Linked DNA regions of Caenorhabditis elegans. The protein of the gene in region 4 interacts with the protein of the main gene of each other region in a pairwise test. Each region holds a gene or a part of one and is shown on either strand. Other genes may lie near its edges. The genes, in order: hrpc-1, gls-1, C04F5.8 and nhr-111.

Evidence for each region.
Region 1: the proteins of nhr-111 (region 4) and hrpc-1 interact in a two-hybrid assay, tested with the Caenorhabditis elegans proteins (2 studies listed by BioGRID).
Region 2: the proteins of nhr-111 (region 4) and gls-1 interact in a two-hybrid assay, tested with the Caenorhabditis elegans proteins (one large-scale study listed by BioGRID).
Region 3: the proteins of nhr-111 (region 4) and C04F5.8 interact in a two-hybrid assay, tested with the Caenorhabditis elegans proteins (one large-scale study listed by BioGRID).

Annotation. Positions count from the first base shown.
Region 1 is NC_003279.8:6,924,285-6,930,171, reverse strand, and holds hrpc-1 (RRM domain-containing protein), read right to left. Parts: upstream 3,916-5,887; 5' UTR 3,864-3,915; coding exon 3,854-3,863; intron 3,608-3,853; coding exon 3,442-3,607; intron 3,072-3,441; coding exon 3,003-3,071; intron 2,723-3,002; coding exon 2,617-2,722; intron 2,511-2,616; coding exon 2,414-2,510; intron 2,177-2,413; coding exon 2,041-2,176; intron 1,690-2,040; coding exon 1,580-1,689; intron 1,374-1,579; coding exon 1,269-1,373; intron 1,135-1,268; coding exon 1,013-1,134; intron 831-1,012; coding exon 648-830; 3' UTR 507-647; downstream 1-506. Other genes in the region: C48B6.9 (uncharacterized protein), read left to right, coding at 4,713-4,781, 4,830-4,991, 5,039-5,322, 5,378-5,463, 5,562-5,752.
Region 2 is NC_003279.8:8,735,153-8,743,084, forward strand, and holds gls-1 (Germline survival defective-1), read left to right. Parts: upstream 1-1,919; coding exon 1,920-2,066; intron 2,067-2,115; coding exon 2,116-2,266; intron 2,267-2,968; coding exon 2,969-3,156; intron 3,157-3,254; coding exon 3,255-3,331; intron 3,332-3,383; coding exon 3,384-3,477; intron 3,478-3,524; coding exon 3,525-3,854; intron 3,855-3,951; coding exon 3,952-4,271; intron 4,272-4,319; coding exon 4,320-4,513; intron 4,514-4,598; coding exon 4,599-4,837; intron 4,838-4,885; coding exon 4,886-4,994; intron 4,995-5,039; coding exon 5,040-5,276; intron 5,277-5,406; coding exon 5,407-5,522; intron 5,523-5,565; coding exon 5,566-5,758; intron 5,759-5,808; coding exon 5,809-5,972; intron 5,973-6,036; coding exon 6,037-6,216; intron 6,217-6,263; coding exon 6,264-6,345; intron 6,346-6,396; coding exon 6,397-6,591; intron 6,592-6,652; coding exon 6,653-6,795; 3' UTR 6,796-7,396; downstream 7,397-7,932. Other genes in the region: prp-4 (Pre-mRNA processing factor 4 (PRP4)-like domain-containing protein), read right to left, coding at 1-4, 47-184, 251-403, 469-555; dhfr-1 (Putative dihydrofolate reductase), read left to right, coding at 1,070-1,204, 1,249-1,379, 1,426-1,578, 1,621-1,771. UniProt on the Caenorhabditis elegans protein: Required maternally for germline survival by forming a maternal complex with gld-3. During hermaphrodite development forms a complex with gld-3 which promotes the sperm/oocyte switch freeing the translational repressor fbf to turn off sperm promoting factors.
Region 3 is NC_003283.11:5,111,012-5,115,467, reverse strand, and holds C04F5.8 (tRNA (guanine(46)-N(7))-methyltransferase), read left to right. Parts: upstream 1-1,713; 5' UTR 1,714-1,714; coding exon 1,715-2,044; intron 2,045-2,212; coding exon 2,213-2,460; intron 2,461-2,840; coding exon 2,841-2,928; intron 2,929-3,516; coding exon 3,517-3,879; 3' UTR 3,880-3,950; downstream 3,951-4,456. Other genes in the region: C04F5.9 (C2H2-type domain-containing protein), read left to right, coding at 293-681.
Region 4 is NC_003283.11:16,122,392-16,126,586, reverse strand, and holds nhr-111 (Nuclear hormone receptor family member nhr-111), read left to right. Parts: upstream 1-1,747; 5' UTR 1,748-1,805; coding exon 1,806-1,857; intron 1,858-2,265; coding exon 2,266-2,376; intron 2,377-2,418; coding exon 2,419-2,589; intron 2,590-2,785; coding exon 2,786-2,925; intron 2,926-2,980; coding exon 2,981-3,070; intron 3,071-3,111; coding exon 3,112-3,283; intron 3,284-3,332; coding exon 3,333-3,532; 3' UTR 3,533-3,692; downstream 3,693-4,195. Other genes in the region: fbxa-143 (F-box domain-containing protein), read left to right, coding at 1-470, 518-724; skr-3 (Skp1-related protein), read right to left, coding at 4,114-4,195. UniProt on the Caenorhabditis elegans protein: Orphan nuclear receptor.

The DNA.
Region 1 (5,887 bases), on a different chromosome or scaffold from region 4:
GGGGTTCGTCAGAAAAATATTTTCATATTATGCTAGTGAGCAAACCAAGGGAATTGGGTATAACGGAAAAAAATAAATATATTTCTCAAACCGACGAATCAAATCGTATTTGTTGTGGTTAGTCAGTAGTGATGGGGGACATTGAAACCCATCAACCGGTTCTTTTGATTCGATGGTTTTTATTTAGGTGACAGAGACGGAAAGCTGTGTCATCGATGATACATTAAAACATTGACCCATCTGTGAGAGACAACGAAGCATCAATTACGAAACAGTATTAATGTTAACTTGAAGAACTATGTAAGAAGCTCATTTTAAAAGAAAAGCGTTTTCTTTTAGGGTTTGCACAAACTTCAAGGAGATTCTAAATAAATTTAGCTTTCCACAGTTTGATTGTAAACACTTTCTTGAATAATTGTTAAAAAATTAAATCAGATGACTTTTAAAAAATTGAACAAGGTAATAGGAGCTTGTGCTACCTGCGTATTCAAACTTTCTAGTGTCTGTTTAAAGCAAAAATAAAACTTCAGAGATTGATAAATAAAAGTTCACAAAAATGTATAAGCGTTTACAACAAAAAAGTAGTAGATAGATAAATGGGAAAATTGAGATTCAGGTATGATTTCAACAGGATTTAGCAAAAATATTTAGATTTGGGGAGTTCCATTATTCGACGAGTAGGACAATGGCGCGCCTTCGACGATATGGTGAGATGGTGTGGAGTTGGCTGAATTTGGAGCAGCAGGAGCCGCAGAACCAGAAGCTGGAGTTTCTGGAATCGAAGATGGCGTTGAAACGGATCCACCACGCATTTGAGCAAGATCATTTGGCTGAAAATTTGTTAATTAAAATCGATTTATGAACACATTCTTATGTTTTTCATACAAACTGTTCATAGAAAAAAGTTCTAAATTATCTGTCCAAAAATATAAAAATTTATCCTCCACTATTTGGTTGCTCATAACGTTCACATATTCACATGATATAGTTATTCTTAAAACTCTAAACATACCGTCATCTTCTCTTCAGTATAGAGCAGCATACGATGAAAATCGGTTAAATGTTCGAGAAGTCCCCACGCGCCGAGGAATCTCTGACTACAAGTGGCACATTTGAGACGATGTCGTGGTTCTTCTGGAAAACAAATTATTGAGATGAAGTATTCAAGTAGAGAGATAACTAAGAATTGAATTTCATACTTCAATCTATATACAACGTTTTTTTAAGTATCAAGTTAACAAATGAAACAGTATGAAATTAAATCCCACCTGGATCCTTGTATTTATTACAGCCAGCGATTCGATGTTCCTTGAACTCTTCAAAATCACTTGTCACGAAACGGCAATATCCACACACCATTGTGTCGCACATTTCTGTAAATTAAAAATGTTTAACCTATTCGTTTCTTACTGGAAAAAATATCAATTTTAAATATGAATTTAATTTCTCTGGTTTTGGCGGATACTTTGATTTTTTGATTCAATCAACAGAAAAATATATAATTTCATCAAAAACTTGTTGAAAAATTTGAAACCAATGTTTCCAAACCCAATAAATTTTTTAAGTTTTAAACTCTCACCATTCGGTGCCAACTGCTCATTGATAGTTGTATCTCCATTTGCAAACTGCTTATTTCTTTTGTTCTGCTTGAAGATCTCGTACTCCTCGTCTTCATAGGGGCGTTTGGCGCTGAAAATACAAAAATTAATATTGTTGGTACCAGGGGTATGAAAGAACCGTATTAAATGGTTTCAACGTTCAGCGAAAATCGCTTTCCCTTTTCAAATTTCATGATTTATCCAAAGTTCGAGTTTGTCCTCGAAATTCGAATTTTTTTTTTTTGAAAACTGAGCACACCGCAGTAACAATCCAACTTACACAAAGAGTGAAACGCCATCGCATTATAACGTTTTTCTTTAGAAGGAAAATATAATGAAAGGAGAAAAAATGAAATAATTCGCTATAACTTTTAAAAACCATAATCCTCAAAACTATTTCGAAATGAAAAATAAAAAGAATAAAAAACCCAAAATGATGAACCTTTGCGCGGAAGTATCGACAGCATGTTGTGTCAACGGTTTCCCAACAGGAAGTGGGGCCGGAGCAATAGTATTTCCTTGGCGACCCTCGTTTCCAGTTGGCTTTCTCAATGAGCCCAACATTGCCAAATGAACATCTGAAATCGGGGACACATAAATAAAAATAAACAAATTTTAAAAACTGTATAAATCGAATAAAAAGTAACTTCGAAAATGTTTCTAATGAAAACCGAAAATAAGAAAAGGTAAAAGAAATTATGAAAAAAGTTGAAATAAAAAGCTTTCAGACGAGAAGCTATTTGAGCTGCAAAATTCGCCGATTTTTAATTTTGGTTGCATTTGGAGAAAAATTATATTCAGATTCAGGTCCTTACCAAGACAACAAGCTTTCCATGACATCCCATTGAGTGAACGGCATGACTCGTCGGCACTACCAGCTTCATTGAATTGAACAAATCCGAAACCTTGTTGCTGAAAAATCAGGAATTTATTTTCCGGCAAAAAAGTGAATTCAAAGTTATGTCATCAATAAACTCGGACTTTGCGGTGGCTATTGAATATTCAGGAATTAACTTACAGCAAAATAATTAACAGCAATTATTTTTCCAAATGGACGGAACAGTTCGATGATATCGTCACGCGTGATAATAGCACGGGCAATGTTTCCAATGAAAACACGAGCTCTGTAAAAAATCATTATAAAAACTAAAACGATACACGATTTTTCGTTCGATAATTTATATAACATATTCTTTAACTTTGTGTGCAGTTATGTTTACTCTGGAAAATGAATAAATCCCCATTTTCTCTCTATTCTCTTTACTCTTTCATGGTCACTTTGTGTCGGTCTTTTGCTTCAAAAATGTTTACTTTCCCACGACCTTTCTTGCATTTTTTCCGTTCTTTTCTCTCATTTTCTTATTTCATTTATCAAATTTACGTTCAAAACATTTATTTTCGTACCTGATCATATGAGGATCCTTAGATGATGTATCATAACTGATATCGCTGTTTACCGCTGCGCTTCCAACTCTGAAAGTTTTTAGGATTACGCTGACGAAGCTGATTTTTTTTTGTTTTTAACGAAAAATCTATTTTTTGGTTTTTTTTAAACCAAAAAACCCTTTACGTACTTCAAACAATTTTCATATTTTACAAATATGCTTTAGCAAAATGTGGTTTTTCATGGTTTTCAATAATTTTTTTCTAAAAAGTTCCAAATAAATCGAAATTCGGTGTTTTTTTACAAATTTCAAATTTTTGTTTTTCGGTCCCGGTCTTGCATCTCATTTAGTTCTTCTTAAATCTTAAGTAAGTTTACTTAACGTGATTCGGCTAATCCAATTAATTTTAAACAAGACAGTTTTGAAACGAATTTTAATGTATTAAAAAGAAAACTAACAGATTAAGAATAGTGCTGTATGGAGCACCAGTTCCATCTTCTGAGAATGTTGGTCTTTGCTCTCCGTAAACTGAAGTTGCGGGTATTGATGCAGCCAATGCGGCAGCAGGAGTTGTTGTTGTCTGGGCACCTCCAGCACCTCCATAGTATCCGTACTGACCGTATTCTGAATGTTTTAATTGGTTTTTCAAGATTTTTAAAAGGACAATGTAATTTCTGATATTCTATTCTAGAATTAATTATTAATCAAATCAAATTTTAACATCACTCGACTATCTGGCAGTTATTTAATAGAATATCATATTACATCGGTATCGCTTTTCCCAAAAATTTCTAAACAACTCCAATTCCGCTGCCGAAGTTGCCTACTTATTCTCTAGTTTATTTCTCATTTTGCATTAAAAACACTAACCAGCACTCATTTTCCATTGATTCTCTGAAGTGTTCGGGATGAATGACGTTTATCACTGAAAATCTTCACTAAAAATTTAAATAATTGAGAAAATTGAGCAAAGTTTGAACATAACGGTTAAAACACGAACATAACATAATTGGAAAAGATTATCGATCGCATGAGTGGTTCAGAGTGGGAAGAGGTGACAATGGTTTGAAAATGAGAATAATGGGAAGAGAAAATCAATCATAATGCGCAGACAGGGTATGTTCATTCCTAATGCAGTAAATTTTTTGTTTTTTTCCTAAAACAGAATCCCACCTTGAGGGGTTTTTAAAAATAAGTGTAAATAAAATTTTCAGAACCAATATTGAAAAGGTATTTCTATTTTTAAATTTATTTTGTGGGCTGAAACAAAAATTGTACAATGTACAACAAAATTGTTTAAAATTTTTGATTCTGCATGCACTAGAGGCACTGAATATCACGACATTTCGAATTTCAGTTTTTATTCGCCAATTTTTCTTGTTTCCTCGAAAAAACCAAATTAATCTTTAAAAAATTGGTATTTCTTTCCTAGCGTTTCGGCATATTGCATCTCATTATGATCTCTTCTTGTATCTTTTTCAAATGCCACCACCTGGTGATAGACTCTTTCGAGAATCTCTCCCCGTTCGCATCCTTACACAAAAACTTATGCGGCTCATTCTTCAGTGGTCCGATTGGTGCATTCGGCGAACACTGATTGCTCCCTCTGTGTGCCTTTGTAATAAAAAACTTTTCGTTGTTAAAAAGAAACGTTTTTTGTCGTTATCTCGAGCTTGGCAAAAAAAGTTAGATTGCTTTTTTTCCGGCCACAATACTTGTTTTTTTAGAAATGGTTACATCTTCAACACCCAGACGTGGGTTCCACATACCGACCACATTAAATCACGAATCCCTTATGGTAATTTTTAAATCGGAATTTTTCTCATACTTTATAATTTATTTTTAGGCTCAAAACTCGCCAATATCGATGAGATATTCAGTATCATGTGGTGGTGGGAAGGGAATTGGAACTACTGGAACATATAGCGGAGCTGGGGGACAAGTTAGCGATAGTCACCCATCAGTTCTCGATTTGAACAGCGAAAACCGAGTAATGGACCGAAAAACGGTAAGAAAAGTTTTTTTCAATCTTTCTATGCATGAAATTGTGTTTAGGTTCACTGGAATATGCTTCTCCTCCTCTTCATGTCAGTTTGCTCGGCATTATTCACCGTTGTTGCTCTACAATTCCACTTTTCAAATGCCGAACGATTTCTTCGCACCGCAAAATCACCGGCATCGGCATATCGAGGAGTAATCGATGTCATTCGGGATGTCATCGCCTCATTCGACGTGGCAATCGTGATTCTGTCGATTCTGGCATTCTTTGTGTCTGCTCTTCAATTACTATTCCTGATGAAGATAGTAAAACAGACACAACAACCGGATGATATTGATGTGTTAGTGCTTTTCAAAAGTTTCACATTAAATAGCTTGAACATTTTAACATTACAGGGCACTTCGATACATCAAATCAACCAGCTTTTTAAGAATTGTGGCATTCTCGTTTTGGTTCGCATCAATAATAGTCTTCGTGATCGGTGAGTTTCTTAAATACTATTCATACGCGATTATAAAAATTCAAAAGAATGAATTCGCTAGAATACAAGAAACAACTCTGCAATTCTAATATTTTCAGTGCTAATGCTCACAGTCTCAATTGACCCATCGCGAAGTTTGGCCTCAAAATGTGTATCGATTACTTTAGGATCTTCCGCCGTCTTTCTTGCCACTTGCTTCGCCGTGAAAACCCTCTATTTCTGGGCAAATCATTCTTGTGGGCACGTCTACCGCGAGGATTGTTACAATTACCTAAGCACACTGGTCTGAATGTATTATTTTTATAGCTTGTTATTCTACCCACTTCTATATTGAGCTTTTTCATCACGCAAAGTTTCTCAAAATTGACACCAATGATCTGATTTATTTCATACACATAAGACTAATAATGAATTCTTATTGAAA
Region 2 (7,932 bases), on a different chromosome or scaffold from region 4:
TCACCTTCAAATTTTTAAATAATTTTTCAAACATTGAAAAACTTACTTCATCAGTATGCAAAACGGCTGCAATTTCATCTTCAGACATTGTTGAAAGTAGAGCTCTAAGTCTTTCTCTTCTATCCAATGCATCTTCTCCGAACAAACAAATTGGTTGGTTTAGAGCACGAAGTTTCAGTTTTACCTTTAAAATATATCTTCAAGTGGGTAGTTATTAAAAAAATTTTATTCATATGTATCAAAACTGTACCTGAACATCATCTGTTGGCAATGTGAGAGTTCTTGCTCTCCGTCTTCTATCAAATTCTGCAAACATTTCAGCATCGTGGCGTGAATCTGCTTGATTTGATACTTCCATTCGTTCCAAAGACACTGTGGGTCCATGGTTTTGCTGTTGTGCATTCTGAAATTTTAAATTAAAATTCAGAAAAAATAACATAGTCAAAGAATTCATGAAAAAAAACATACCAAGATTGCATTCACGCTTTCTGCATTCGCCAGTGATCCAAACTGTCTTGGCGGTGCTGGAACAGCAAAATTGCCATTTTCAGCCATTTTGTGTGCTCTTAAAAAATTTAATTACTTTAAAAACCACTGTAAAGAATATGAAGTTATATATTAGGACATTCAGAACGAAGATGTGAGACATAGGAATGGGCTTGTAGTTTTATTATAATTTATTATATTTAGTTGTGAAGTTTAAAACATTTTAAAGTGAACAAAGGAAAGAAAATGGCATAAAAGTTCAAAAAAAGCGGTGAAAATTCTTCGAAAGTGGGAACCAGTAATCGCGCTCTAATGATAATTTGAAGAAATCTGAGGTTCTCTCACTTCTTCTCGATTCATTTTCACCCTCATTTTTTTTTGATTATCTATTTTTATTGATTTTCCCACGATTCATTATCTTTATCTTCGAAATCTGTATTGTTTGAAGATTTCAGTCGATACGAAGTCGAATGGAAGCGTATTTCAAATGTGCTTCGTTTTGCTGTGCAAAGTTCTCATTACCCGTTTTTAAAATTTTCTCTGGTATCTCAATCGAGTTATTTTCTATTTCTAGGCATTAAAAATGAGAAAAATGAACTTAATAGTGGCTATGGATGCCGAAGGAGGAATTGGCAAAAATGGCGTGTTGCCATGGCGAATCAAGAAAGACATGCAGTATTTCGCGTCTGTTACCAAAAATGTTTCTGATCAGTCGAAGGTTGTTCGAGATTTCTAACTAAACTTGTAACATAACTTTTGTAGAGAAATGCAGTTCTCATGGGACGAAAATGCTGGGAAAGCATTCCAGTAACTCGCCGCCCGTTGGCAGGACGGCTAAACATTGTTTTGAGCCGACAACTTCCTGCGCAAAAGTCCGATGACTACATTGTTGTGTAAGCTGTCATGAAATAATATTTAACCTGTTGTTGTTACATTCAGAAACTCGCTCGAAGCGGCTATGAAACTACTTTCGGAGCCACCATTTGTGGATTCGATCGAAACAATCTGGAATATCGGTGGAGCTGAAATCTATGATCTTGCGTTGCGAGAAAACTTGGTTGATGAAATTCACTTGACACGTATTTTCAAAAAGTAGGGTGCTTGCACAGTTTTTTTACTCTGTCGTAATTTCAGCTTCGAAGCCGATGTTCATCTCAAGTCACTCGATTTCAGTAAAATGGAGAAAGTTCAAAATGCCGAGGTGTCATCGGAAAATTCAGAAATTTTCGAAGAAAATGGATTAAAGTTCGAATTTTGCAAATGGAAGGTTGTCGAGAACCACTGAATTTTTTTTTGAAATTGCTGTTTATTTTTTTAATTTATATGTATTCATTCACCTGTTGTTTACTCGGGCAGCCCACAATTTTCACGTGTAAATATAAAATCTGTACATGATTCTTATTACTATTAACTTTTTGTAATTCATCGTAAGTATGCGATGTTTGATATCTTATTTATTTCATTCCTTCCTTATTTTTTTAAAATTTATCCGTTCAGACGTCACAGCTTTAACTCTTCAAGAAAAGCGTAAGAAGTCTCGGTTAACTGGTATTTTGATGAAAAGTATGGCCAATAAAAAGGTGTGTTGATAAAGATAGTGAAATTCGACATATTTTTCCCTAGTTTCAGAACCATCAGCAAAAGAAAAGTACAGACGGGTCAACGATGAACGGGAATAACGCAACAGCAACTGCCGCTGCAACAACTCAGAATTCATCACAAATTGGACAAAATTCCAATTCCAGTCATAGCGTCACCAACGATAACACTTCCAGCAATAGTACGTATACACGTTTCTCACAAATCTGTTTTGAAATAACAAGGACGGCTGTTCCTAAATAGGTTTTAGAATTTTCTTGCAGCAATTGCAAATTAATTCAAAATTTTGTGTCTTAATTTCCAATGGTTCATTTAAATCGAGATTTTGGAGACCTTGGTCTTCACAATCTGTGCTTAAAAAATGACCCCGAAGAAAAGAAAGAAAGTGAATAGACGAGTACAGAACCGAGGAGGGCAAACATATATAATAAAAATAAAAAAGAGAAAGAGGCCACCAACACAGGCACGATGCCCCTTTTCCATCTCTTCCTCTTCTCTTTTCAATAAGCATCAAGGTGCGAAAGTCGATTTATTTATTATAACCCAAACTATTACATTTGATTTCCCTATTGATGTGATGAGTGATAAGCAATGACTTTTCTAGCATCTAAATTTTAACAATTAGATTGGAACGTCTATATTAATCATTTCATATTTATTGATTTAATTTTAGAATTTGATTTATATATATATATATATATATATATATTCAATGTCCTATTATTTCTATGTATTCTCTTCTGATTTTGGAATACTTCAACAAAATTCTCAAGAAAACGTTAAAATGAAACATAAAGGGTCTCTAAAATGCGGTAAGCAACAATGTAAATTTAAAGAAAATTCAACTCTCAAGATTCATAGAATTTATTTATATTCATTTCAGACGCTTCGACGTCTACATCGTCCATCACCTCAACTACCACTACGACCACTACAGTACCTTCTTCACAGCAGAGTCAATCTCAAAATCAATATTCACATCAAAGACTTTCATCGACTTCTTCAACGTCACAGCAAACTGGAATTTCTAAATTTCCTGCCAAAAAGGCTGGGCACAACGAGCTTGAGAAGGTAAGTAGGCGAAGATAAATTCGACTGAGTCTATCGTGCATAATTATTTCATATTTTAAAACACATGTTTTCTCAACCTGTTTATGATTCACTTGCAGACAAGCAACACTGCTAATTCACAATCGGGTGCTTTCAAAGGAACCACAAATAAAGATCGGCCGAAGGAAAAGGAGAAGTAATTAAATCAGTAACTAGTTAAAACAAATCCTTAGCTTTTGCTCGTTCAGAAACACTCACAGTGGTAATAGGCAAAGTCAGGTTAACCATAATCATCATCATTCAAACCATGTTAGCGGAAATCAGCAGAACCGAAAGAATAAGGTTTGTATAAACGTATAATTACGATAAAAATTAATTTTAATGTTAAGAATCGTGATCATTCGAACCAAAGTTATCGAGGTGGCTACACACATAACCACAATAATTATCACTCGTTGGAAAATGCTAAATCTTCTGGATTTCTGTCAAATTCTTCCCTATCCTCTGCGGGACAAATATCAGCGTCTTCTGCTCCTCCAGTGAGCACAACTCCGACTGCTATTCCCATCTTTCAAGAATCCAAAATAGTTCAAACAGATCCACCAGTCGAAGAAGCAAAAAAGAAGAAGGAAAAACCAAAAATCAAGCGTGATGAAGAGCCGATGCCATATAAGAGCACTGATCCGAAAAATATGGATTCTGTGATGGCATTCAAAGAGGTGATTCATAAATACAAGACATTTTAGTATTTATCATTTTTATTCAAACAAAATTTTTAAAAAGTTATTAGTTTTCAAAACGTAGTTTGGATTGCAGCACGATGAATGGGATAAGGTGGAGTTTATGTGTGAACTTGTTTCTTTCCTGTCTCCAACCGATCTTCGCCTGCTTGGAAATTGTATCGAAGGATCTGTTCGTTGCTATAACAATCAAATGCGGCCAGTAGAAAAGACTTCAAACTGTTCGGATCCAACAGCTGGTTTACCTCAATTCGTTTGCTCTCCTCCACCTCCACCGCAACAAGTTTATTATTTTCCTGGTATTGCGGATGCTGCCCTGTATCAAACAAGAAATGCAGTTAACTCGGTTTTTGTACAGCAACATCCACCTGGTCTTCCACCGTTATTAGGCGGAATGTATGCATTATTGTCGGTGAATTATAATTTAAAAATTTTTTATTTCAGGCAGAATATTATGTATCCACCTGATGCTAACTTTCATCATTCAACCTCTTGTACGACACCTTCATCATCAGTTTCCGTTGCAAATAAGGATGTTAACAATGTACCAGTTGTGCTATCAAGTAGTGTGAACGGAATAAGCAATAATATTCCATCAGATAGACAACAGCTAGATTCCAAACCAAATACTGCAAGAGGTAAAAAATCTTCATCATTATTTGACACAGTTAAAAAATGTATTTTACAACACAATTTCCCTCTCAAATTCGCAACATTTTTCAGGTTCGAGCGGCAATATCAACCAATCTAATACAACATCACCAGAACCGGAGCCCGGTTCTAATCACATCTCCACCACAGCAGCAAACCCTGCACATCCAACTTCAGTGACTGTACCACAGTCGGTACCACCGGTCCCTCAAGAACCAGAATTGTTTCTCAAATCTGTTCTCGATCTTACCAGTTACATATACACTCTCATGGCAGTTTGTTCATCAACAAATAGAAAATCAGCTGCTAAGGTGAATCAGAATACGACTTTAGATGGTATTTAATCGATTTATTTAAAGATCTCTGACTATGTTCAAAATGTTATTCTGAGAGAAAAGAGCCAAATACTCGAACGTATTCCGGATGAACTTGATAAAATTACCGTTTTACAAGAAATCGGTAAAATTGGTAAGTCTTCATTTCCGTGTTTTGGAGTATACTTTTTTGTTTCAGTCGCAGCCATGACTCATCACCCAGCAATTACTCTTGATGACAAAATGAAATATGCGGCTCTGCGGGACGGATTACGTGCTCAAATAGAAACATTGTTTAGACAATACTACACAACTCAGAAACAGTTGGAGCAAAGCAATCTTGTTGTACCATCATCACAAGCTGTTGGCGATGAGAATGATACTGATTCCGACCATGAATCAGAGGAAGAATTTGAGCCACTATCAGGTGTTATGGGTAAGCAATTAATTAATATTTAACAGAATTTTTCACATGCATTTCTAGAAATTTTTCGATAATTAGTCGATGAATTGAGTTCGGAACATTCCAACTAAATCACTGATAACATTCCGCATCTTTTTTTCAGGTTCGCGTTTCGAGAGTAATCCAGTTCAGCCGTCGCCATCAGTTCCGGGAACATTCTTTATCATTCGATTTATTGGACGACAAATTGAGAAGAACGATAATCTTTTCAGCCTGGAGGTAACACGCAACCTGAAGTTTCTGAAATCATAAAGGTTTTCAGATTCATTGGAGTGATGGTGACAGAACATTTGCTCAAAGATCTCGTGATCAATTGAAAGCTCTACAGCATCGTCTTCTTGATGAGTTCGGACAACAGAGAAGTGAAAAATATCTTCATCAAGGATGCACTACATCCTACTCTTCATTTGACGATGATAACAAAAAGCTTTCAGCGAGCACATCTACAATGGAGAGTATGTATTTTCAATTTATAGTCTCTAATTTACAATTTTTATTTTTGCAGCGTTTGCTCCAAACGGAGAGCGTATTGTTCCACGTCTTGCTCGTGATGCGACTCCAGCTCAATATGTTCAATACATCAATGAACTTTCTGACTTGCCAGCTAGAATGATGCTGTCAGCTGTAATATGTGAAGAGTTCAACGGTACCAGAGCGAAAACAGAAGATGTTAGTTTCTGATACTGTTCATTTCTAGATTGATTGAAAAGAACGAATCTATTCCGAAATAAAGCTATTGCAGGAAACTCGCGAAGCATCGGATGGATTAATATATTCTCGATGGAAGAATCCACGTGCCAAATCTCCAGTTCGTTACTTCAAACGAAATGCAACAGGAAGCATTGACCCGATTGAATTGCCTGTCAATATGCAACCATTCCTTTATTCAAATATCCCGCAAACACAAGTGCAGGTTTGATTTCGAATTTTCGTAAAATCTGAGAAATTTTCAATTTCTAGACGCTGTTCCCAAGTTGCTCTAATTGTGGCGGTCCTCACGCTCCGAAACACTGTGAAAAACAAACATTGTTATCGAAGAAAGGCATGTACAAGTTGAATTAGATGGCAATAATGAGAATAATCAATTATTAAGGTGATCATAGAACTCGTTCAGACGGGGAAGGTTCTCAGCAAAATGGTGGAACTTCCTCTTCCAATTCATACGCTCCAATTCATGCAAACCTCCCCCATGCAGTATACATTGAAAATCCGCAAGCAATGTTAGGATCAAATCACTTCAATCATCATCAACAACAGCACATAATTCAGAATACTATATTCCATAATGGTATGTATTAAACTTTTAAAAATTAGAATAATTGATTCAACATGACACAATAATTTCTCAGGTGGACAATTTCGTGCAAACGGAACATATGAACCGCAAATTCCGATAGCATACTATCATGCCCAGGGAACTGTACAAAACTCAAATAATACTGGTGGAGTCAACGGAAACAGTGGGGGCGGGAACCAGAATTCGAATTTCTGAGAGATGCTGAATTGCTGCTCCTTTTTATATCAATTCTTGTGATTTCGTAATAGTTTTCTTCTTTTTTTGTTCTTTCTTTCACCCAATTTTTTTTTCATTGTTTATGTTTAACGCTCACACATTTTAATTTTCATCGACACGTGTATTATTGAATTTCTCTGATCCATCACATCCCGATTGCCATCATCATCCTTAAAGCGACATTTTCTCGTTAGGTACGTACACGTGGTACAACTTCGTTTAAACTATAACAAATTATCACTGAAGTCTCGAAAAACGTTCTCTTTCTCTTCATAATTCACAAGCCAAGACCACCTGATTAGTTTTATTCAATTTTTTCTGTTTTCTATATTTCAAAATGCTGGTCATTTCTCTCTTTCGTTTAGGTATTCACTTTTTTAATTTATACATATTTTTGTTTATATATACATATATCTTTTTGACCACCCCGTCTTCCACCTTCAAGAATAATATCGTTGATTTCTTGTTTTTTTTGTAACCCTATCTCTCTCTCCCTCTCTCTTCCCTCTAAATTTTCTTTCATTTTCCCAATTATTTTAATTGTTTCTTAGGTGCGAAATGAACGGTGGAACTAAAAAAATATTTACAAAACTTTATGCTGATAGAGGAGAAAAACACAACATTTGGGATACAAAAAATTCGAGAATCGCTTCGTGAAATGATGACTCACACTAACATAAAATTTTACACATTTTTAAAAATGAAATACAAATGAAATAATTGAACAGTTTTTAAAGTATGCGACAACTAAGAAAATGCATTTGGAATTAATTATAATCGGGATTTTACAAATTGAAACCACGGAATGAATTATTAAAATCACCACTTTCGAAGATTATTTAGAAATGGAGTAAGTTGTTTCAGAAAAAAAAATGAATGGACCTTGTTACGTCATGTTCCCGATGGACACTTTTCTAGAATCGATTGAAAACTGAAAATGGCAGGAAATGACAATTTTGGATGAGGGTTCGGGAAGTAAAGGTAAAAAAAGAAAAATCAGATGATCCTGAGGATGAAAAGGCTTGATGAACAATTGGAAAATAGGCAAATTTCAGAAAGTTACAGACAAATTTGAATATATTGCAAAGCTTGGAAGACACTGTGTGAAAGAATTGA
Region 3 (4,456 bases), about 11 Mb from region 4:
CAATCTGTCCATTTGCTGGAATGTTCAATTCCGGAAATTTCGAGTTCCGGCAATTTTCCGATTTGCCGGAAATTTTGAATTCCAGCAGTTTGCCGACTTGCCGAAATTTTTAATTCCGGCAATTTGCCCTATTTGCCGATTTGCCGGAAATTTCAATTTCGGCAAATTGCCGATTTGCCGGAAATTTTGAATTCTGGCAAATTGCCGGTTTGCCGGAAATTTTGAATTCTGGCAAATTGCCGACATGCCGGAAATTTCAATACCGGCAATTTGAACTATTATATTTTTTCAGAAATAACATTCAAATCGTCTCGATTCCTCTATCAACACGAACAAACTGTCCATCAAAGGGAGCCCCCCGTTCATCGTAATCAACTGACAATCACTGCCACCTCACTTCTCCCATATTTCAAATTCCAAGAGGCAAAATTCTACGATTCAAGTGGACAAGAATATCGAATGGGCAAATATTTGGAGAAGAATAATGGAATAAATGTATCGAGAAATGTGAAGAAACAGAAGAACAATATTGTGACACTTCACGGAAATCTGAAACAGCATGTTCTACTCACAGATATGGAATATTCAATGTTGCGGAACCCTGATGGAAGCCTGAAAACCTTTTTTAGTGAGAATCCGAAAAAATTTGGTGATCCGCCGGTTCTGGAAAGAGAAGAATAATAATCTAACATATTCTGTCATAATTACTAAATAAAATTTTTTTTCTAAATTCTTGAACTAAAATATTTTTATTTTCGTGTCTCTTATCCGATCACAATTATTATTTTTTCTATTTTTTAATAGTTTTTTTACTCGAAACGACAAAAAATAGTTTAAAAAATGTAAGAATTTCCCTAAAATTTCAGCGATTTTTTCCAATTTTGCAGACCAAAAATAGGCATTTTCCGGATATTTTCATTGTTTTTTTTCTTTTCTTTTGTCCTGAAAAAAGTTTAATTATCGATTTTTAGAACAAATTTATAGTTTTTTACGATTAAAAAAAACCATAAATTTCGCCTAAAAATCTATTTTTAAACTTTTTTTGACAAACAATGTTCAAAATTACAAAAACAATGAAAAAATGAGAAAAAAATTAATAAAAATATCCAGAAAATAGCCCTTTTTTAAAATTTTTTAGTTTGCAGGAATGGAAAAAAAATCACAAAAAATTTAGAAAATAATAATTTGGCTCTTACGAATTTTTTTTTCAAAATTAAGAAAAAATCAGAAAATTCAAAAATTGTTTCTTTTGAAATCGAGTTGCAATCGCGCTTCAACGCTAATTGAAAACGCTTCGCTCCGAGCTTTAGATCACTTTTTTATTATGAGAACACAAATTTCTGAGAATGCGTATTTGCACAGAATGCGTATTATTTGACGCGCAAAATATCTCGTAGCGAAAATTACAGTAATTCTTTAAACGACTACTGTAGTGCTTGTGTCGATTTACGGGATCTCGATTTTTTTCGGAATGAATTCCCAGGGTGAAATTCAATTTTTCATTGCTTTTCCGAATGATTTCTCATATTTTGCTTACTATTAATCTAGCCCGTAAATCGATACAAGCGCTACAGTAACCCATCCAAAGAATTACTGTAGTTTTCGCTACGAGATATTTCGCGCGTCAAATACGTTGTGCAATACGCATTCTCAGAATTCTGTGTTTCCGTAATAAATACAATTTTCAAAATTTAAATTTCCGTTTTTTTTCAGAATGGCTTCAAAAGAGCCAGATGGCTCGAAAGCTCGTGAAACCAGAGAAGCCAAAGAATCAATTCGTCAGCTTCTCTCGAAACTCGAAATAGATCAAGTTATTGAGGTTAAGGATTGGTTGGCCAAATACGTGGAGAGCACACCATCGAGCGAAATTACATTTAATTATGAAAATGAGCAAAAAAAGAAAATGATGGACAGAGGAGCACGGAAACTTGACAGAATAGCGGCCTATTTGAGAGATAAAGCTGTCGATGTTCCGTCGAAAGCTCCGAGCAAGTTGAGATGGCCTACTGAAGGATTTGATAGCGATTGTACTGAGCTGAATACGGTGAATTCTCGAAAAAATAAACTTTATTGAAACAAAAAACCAACAAAAAAGCAGTGAAAAAACCGTGCCGCAGGGTTGCAAATTTATGATCCGCCTCTATTTTTTTGCTTTTTTTACAAATTCACGGATTGAACATTTAATTTCAAACAATAAAAGTTATTTTTCCAGTGCGAAGTCGACTCATTTCTCTATGAAGATGATGACGTGGAAGAGTTGGTGGAACGAGATGAGCTCAGCCGTACGTACTGTCCGGTTTGCAGTTCGAGGGATACTGTACCTCTAAACTTCATTAGTCACAGTTTGAGCCGTCTTCAAGTCAAATTCCTTTTTGATCTACTTATGCCGCCAACATGCCAACACGTACTGGACATTGGGAGCAGATTAGGAGCTATTGTTTATGGAGCATCGATTTTTACGTGAGCATTGTGGAAAATAATTGATATTACAGGAACACAAAATTTTGAGAATGCGTATTGAGCAACGTATTTGACGCGCAAAATATCTCGAAGCGAAAACTACTGTAATTCTTTAAATGAGTACTGTAGCGCTCGTGTCGATTTACGGGCTTGGTTTTCGAAATGATTTATTCATTTATTTATTAAAATTTTGCAAGGAAAATTAAAAATCGTTGTCGATAATATTTCGAAAATCGAGATCCCGTAAATCGACACAAGCTCTACAGTAATCATTTAAAGAATTACTGTAGTTTTCGCGACGAGATATTTTGCGCGTCAAATATGTTGTATTGTGATCCCGTAATATTTAAATTTGAAGAAACATCCATTTTTTTTTTTAGAAACGGAAATGTGAGCACAATCGGCGTTGAAATGGACTCGGACTATGCTGCTCTCGCGTTACGGACTATTCGTCAATTCGGATTAAAGGTTTAGTTTTATGCAATAAAAGTAAAATTTTTGCCAACAATACGGTAACAGGTCTCGACACGACAATTTTTTGTGAATTGCAAAAAGGTGTGCGCCTTTAATGAGTACTGTAATTTTGAATTTTCATCGATTTTTCACAACTTTTCGATATAAATATAGTTATGTATTTTTTAAATTCAGAAAAAACAATAAAAATGCAAGAAAAACTTCGAAAAATCAATAAAAACTCCGCAGAAACAAGATTTAGAAACTACATTACTCTTTAAAGGCGCACACCTTATTTATTTTACAAAAAAATGTTCGTGTCGAGACCAGATATTGTGTTTTTCACACTTTCTCTGTGCACTTCAGAATGTGAAATTTAACAGCATAAAATTAACAAATCGATTTTATTTAAATCTATAAAATTTGACCCCTTCAGCGACCAATTTGACTGTGATCGTGGCGAGACCCGCGCGGAAAACAGCGAGTGCCTTCAAACTAGCAGGTCAAAATTTAACGAAATTACGAAATATTTTTTGAGAAGCTTTCGAAAATTTTAAAGTGGAAATTTGTCAAATCCTCTAAACTTACAATTATTTTTTCCAGAACATTGAAATCCTGCGCGACGATATCCGCCACCTCGCCCACGTCTTCAAGGATAATCAATTCATCGTGATGAACAATGTCTTCTCGTTCTTCCTATCAAAAACCGAACAAGAAGAGTGCTGGGAGTTCCTACATACTCATATGCGCCCTGGAACAGTACTCGCTCATCATCCACCAATCGAAAAAATCACGGAACACTTGGATCTCTCATTCGACATTGAGGACTGGCTTGAATTTGTGAATACCACAACTGAATGTCTCGAATATGGAGCCAATGATTCGGAAATCTATGAGGAAATGGCATCGATTTGCAAGTATATTGTACGGGATTCGAGAGCTCACGGGGACTCGGTTCCAGAGTGATTTTTGTTGTTCGCCAATTTTATGATTGTTTCTTGTTGTTAAGTTTTCTAAAAAATAAATTCTTTGATTTTAATAAATTTCGAAAATTCAAATATTATGGGGACGCCGAGGGAATCAGGGTGCAAAGGCGCTCTAACGCCAAATGACAACCGAGCATTGGGTCTCGTTAGGAAATGGCGGCAAACGAGACATTTAAATTTTTTATTACGGGAACACAAAATTCTAATAATGCGTATTGCACAATATATCTTACGCGCTAAGTATCTCGTAGCGAAAACTACAGTAATTTTTTAATGACTACGCTTGTGTCGATTTACGAGCTCGATTTTAGAGATGAATTTATTTTCGAATAGTGTCAGCGATATTTCGCTTTAATTTCGAATCGAGCCCGTAAATCGACACAAACGCTACAGTAGTCATTTAAAGAAATTACTGTAGTTTTCGCTACGAGATATTTTGTGCGTCAAATATGATGCGCAATACGCAGTCTCAGAACTTTGTGTTCCCATAATAAAAAGTGAGAGTTTTCATGCGCCCTTGGAGCGCTACTGCACCTCAATTTCAAAAAACGCATTTT
Region 4 (4,195 bases):
AGTATGGACAGAAGACAAAAACAATTATTGGTGCAAAATCTGTTGATGTGGCTTTCAATGACTTTGGAATTATCATGAAGAATCCGGCACTTCGCTTGGAAAAATTTCCGATTCAGCTTTCTGTTGATGTTGAGCAAACTGGGACTTATTTTTCAACTCTTCTTGATGTTTTGAAATCCTCCATGTCTTGCCTACACGTTAAAAAGTTTCATGGGACAGATTTCTCCGAGGAGCAGCTTCTATTAGTGATCCCTTTCCTAAAAGCTGGATATCTTGAAAAAATTGAGCTGCTTTCCAATGAGCCCACAGATCTCGAGAAAATCGCTAAACTTGAGCAATGGAAAAGAGCACAAGTTTTTGATTCGTTCTGGAAGAGTTATAAGGTTTCTGTCGAGGATATGCTCCATTTCAGAGAGTTCTATGTAATTGTACCTTGCTTTTCAAAAGAGGATGCAGTAAAACTGAGAGATGTAAGTTTAAATAAAAAATCGAAAAAAAATCCAAGTATTATTTTCAGTTGCTCACAAAATCAGTGGACTTCGAGAACGGGTGCTTCAAGTTCCCCGAAACCAACATTATCGAAATAGTGAGAGTTTTCATTCTGGACTACGAAGGAGAAGAACGGGCCAAAATTGATTATAACGAGAATGGCACAGATTTTATCTTGGACTTTAGCACAGAACACTTTCGATTGACAAAAAAGAAGATTGTGGACAGTGACTGAAATTAAATTTTAAAAAATATGATTTTTTTTAAAAGTTTTTGTATTGAATAAATTTGAGACAGACCGACGGCTCGAATTTCAGGTCAAAAGTAGAATTTTGCAGTTTGCATAATTTCAGTTTTTGATCACCCCATTCAGTAGGGAGCCATAAAAAATGGAATGATGATTAATATGCTCTTCTGAAAAATTAGACTTGTGTAAACACAGTGACGGATAACGACGTACGATTCGATAAAAAGGAATAGCTGCGGGAAATGGTGAGCACATGTGTAGGCTAGGAAGCAGTAGGCATTTTTTAGATGTGTTTGGTGCGGTTCAGTCAATTTTTTGCTGGGCTTTTGTGCTTCACATTGAGAGCGTTTTGATATTTTTGACTAGAAACTGAATGTGAGAAAATACTTGTTTCCGAGTATACTAGATGCTATACATAGGTTTTACAGTTTTATATCTTTATTGCATTTAACTGAAAATGACCAAAATCTGAAAAGTACGTAATTGGAAAATGTATGTCAAATTTCAGAATTTAATTAAATATACAACTGAATCGAAATCTGAATATTCTGAAATTTTCAATGAAGATCTCAGTTTTTTTTCCACCATCTTTTGCGCTAGGTTAGCTTAAAGACATTTTTCGTTTAAAATGAAAAAGTATTTAAATGAAAAATGACATATATTACGAAAATTTCCGCTTTCAGAAAATGTGATATCATATATTTCCAGCGGACAATTTCCGCATTTCTATGACTCAACAATTTATAGTCCAAATTTTATTTCAATTCGATCATTCCCTAGTGAATGTTTGCTTCTGATTGATTTCAACTTTAAATACACAAGTGATCTGAAGTATGGTATATCTGCAAAAAATTTTAGAGAGATTGCTGCTCAACTTTTGGCACCTTTTCTCTCGTTTCTCTAACTGTCACTTTATCCTTCTTGTACTAAGCCGGCTGCCTCCAACAGGTCAAGTGGGAGGAGTCGTGATTAGAAGTTGAGCAGTAACCAAATTATTTTTATGCTATTATTGTAGATACTGACAGGATATTCTCAACTTACTCAACGAGAGAATATTTAACAAAAAAAGATGAGCAGCCAAAATGCGAAGTCAATCGGTGGCATTTTGGAAACTTCAACAGGTATGCCCCAATTTATGGGATCGAAAAATTTTTTCATGCTTTAACTAGATAATTACTCAACTCACCGAAATGTATAAATGAAAGCATTTGGTAAAATATATCAGAAAATTTTTAGAAGTCGAAAACAAACTTGCAACGTTGTTTTCTAGATTTTGGAATTTTTTTGACATTTTCGAACAGATTGATAGCAATTTTTGTACTATACTTGTTGACATCTCAAAAATGTATTCTATGTTTCCATTATTTAGATCCCAGTTACGTTATAACCTGACAGAGGTTTGCGGGCGGTAAGTAGAAAAACCAGAAGCTTACAAAACTTGACCGCACTTATCAGCTTCTCAATTTACTTAGTTCAAAAGTTTTATGACAGAAGATTTACAATCTTTCACGCATATCTATAACTTTCAGTGCCTCTGGTCATCCAACCGCAGATTGTAAATGACCCCGCGCAAAACAACATAACTCTTCCAATCACGCTTTGTGCAGTTTGTGGGGACACTTCTAACGGAAATCATTACGGTTGGAAAGAAGATTTAGAAACTAGATAACAATGAATTTTAGGTGTGCCAACCTGTTTCGGATGCAGTGGGTTCTTCAGAAGAACCGTTAGAAACAAGTTGGTACATGGATGTTGGAATGGAGACGGAAACTGTGTGATTGATAAAGCGAACCGGAACAGGTGCAAGTCCTGTCGAATTAAAAAGTGCTTCAAGAAGGGGATGAATAAGAATGGTAAGCTGCTTCTCTGAGTTTGGGCTTCAGATCATTAACTTTGTGTTTGCACCATATAGTGCGGTAGGTATTTTTCAGTGGCCGACATTTTTTTGAGTTTCGCGCCGCACCATATTAACAAAGGCCTGAGGCCGGCAGAAGCCTCCTGAAGCCGGCGAAGGCGACACAGTTTCGTCTCTAAATAATTATTTTCCAGCTGTGCAACCCGAGAGAACTTCCCATAGCTACACTGTAGAGTATGTCGAGTTGCCCTCATTCCGAGAGTATTCCAAGGGACTTCTGCCTACTCACTCTGATCGTCTCAGATTCCAACACGAACATGCTCAACATGAAATTGTTAGTTAATCAGGAGACAAACTATCAACCTGAGACACCACAAATTTAATTTCAGGACACAAGCTCCGTGCTAGTTCATCTGAAAAACGCACTCCAGTGGGTGCAACAGTTTTCGCTCTTCGCAGTGCTTTCCGATGTTGAAAAGGTCTAAATGCCAAACATAAAAGTCATTAAAAAAATTTCCAGAGCCAGATCATACTGACCCAGTGGCCACATCTTTTGTGCCTCGCGTTGTTCGAAAACTCCGAAAAAATCTTCATCGATGAAAAATTTGCACAACTGGCTGAGAAATTCAAATCCCTCGAACTTTCGGCGCAGGATTATTTCCTCTTGAAGGGAATTATTATTTTCACGGAAAGTAAGTTTAACTAGAAAAGCTGCTGAGCTTTCAGAAACTAAAATTTCAGCCAAAGATGGCACTGATCTCAAATTCGATCGCCAACTTGATATCTGTATCGGCCTTCTCAATCAGTTGCACCTGGAGTCTTCAAAGTCCAAATCTGGAAGGCTTCTATTTCTCCTCGGCGAGCTTAAATCCTATTCTACTAGACAGCTTGAATCTCTCCTGGATCTTAAAGCTTGTGAGATTGTGATTAGTTTTCTTTAAATTTTGACTATTTTTCTGATGCTGTTATATGCACACATTACCCCCATTTTGCTCACTAGTAGTGCTCAGCTTAAGCTTAGACTTAGGCTTACGGTTAAGCTTAGGCTAAGGCTTAGGCCTTGGCATAGGTCCTGGCTTAGAGATTTTCATTTAATTTGCAACTGTTTCCTCAAAAACAATGTTCAAACCCAAATTTCTTTCCTATTTTTTCTCCAGATTCCCCCAAGGCAACCAAATTTTTTAAACAATTTTCTTCTCGATCAGTTGAAATACTTCCAAAAACGTTACAACGATTTTGAACAGTTTTTTTACAAGTCAAAACAGTAGTTGGCTGCAAATTTGGCCGCCAAAGTTTTTTTTTTTTGCAAATGGTAAATTCATACACAATGAACAAACTACACAATATACAGACGTTATACATTTATTTAAATTATATTTTTTGTTGGAAGCAATGTAAAGCGTACTTGACAGACAAAGTTTTTTTTTGTTTAAAATAATTTTTGATTTTGTTTTAAGTGACATAAAAGAGGTATGTAAACCGAATCAGATAAAGTTCAAGTTAATTATGTTTACCAGGGAGCTTAATCCTCGCACCAAGCGTTTTCCTTCTTCATGGCCTCCCGTTCCTCCTCGGAAAAATCGTTCTCAATGTTGAAGAGGGTT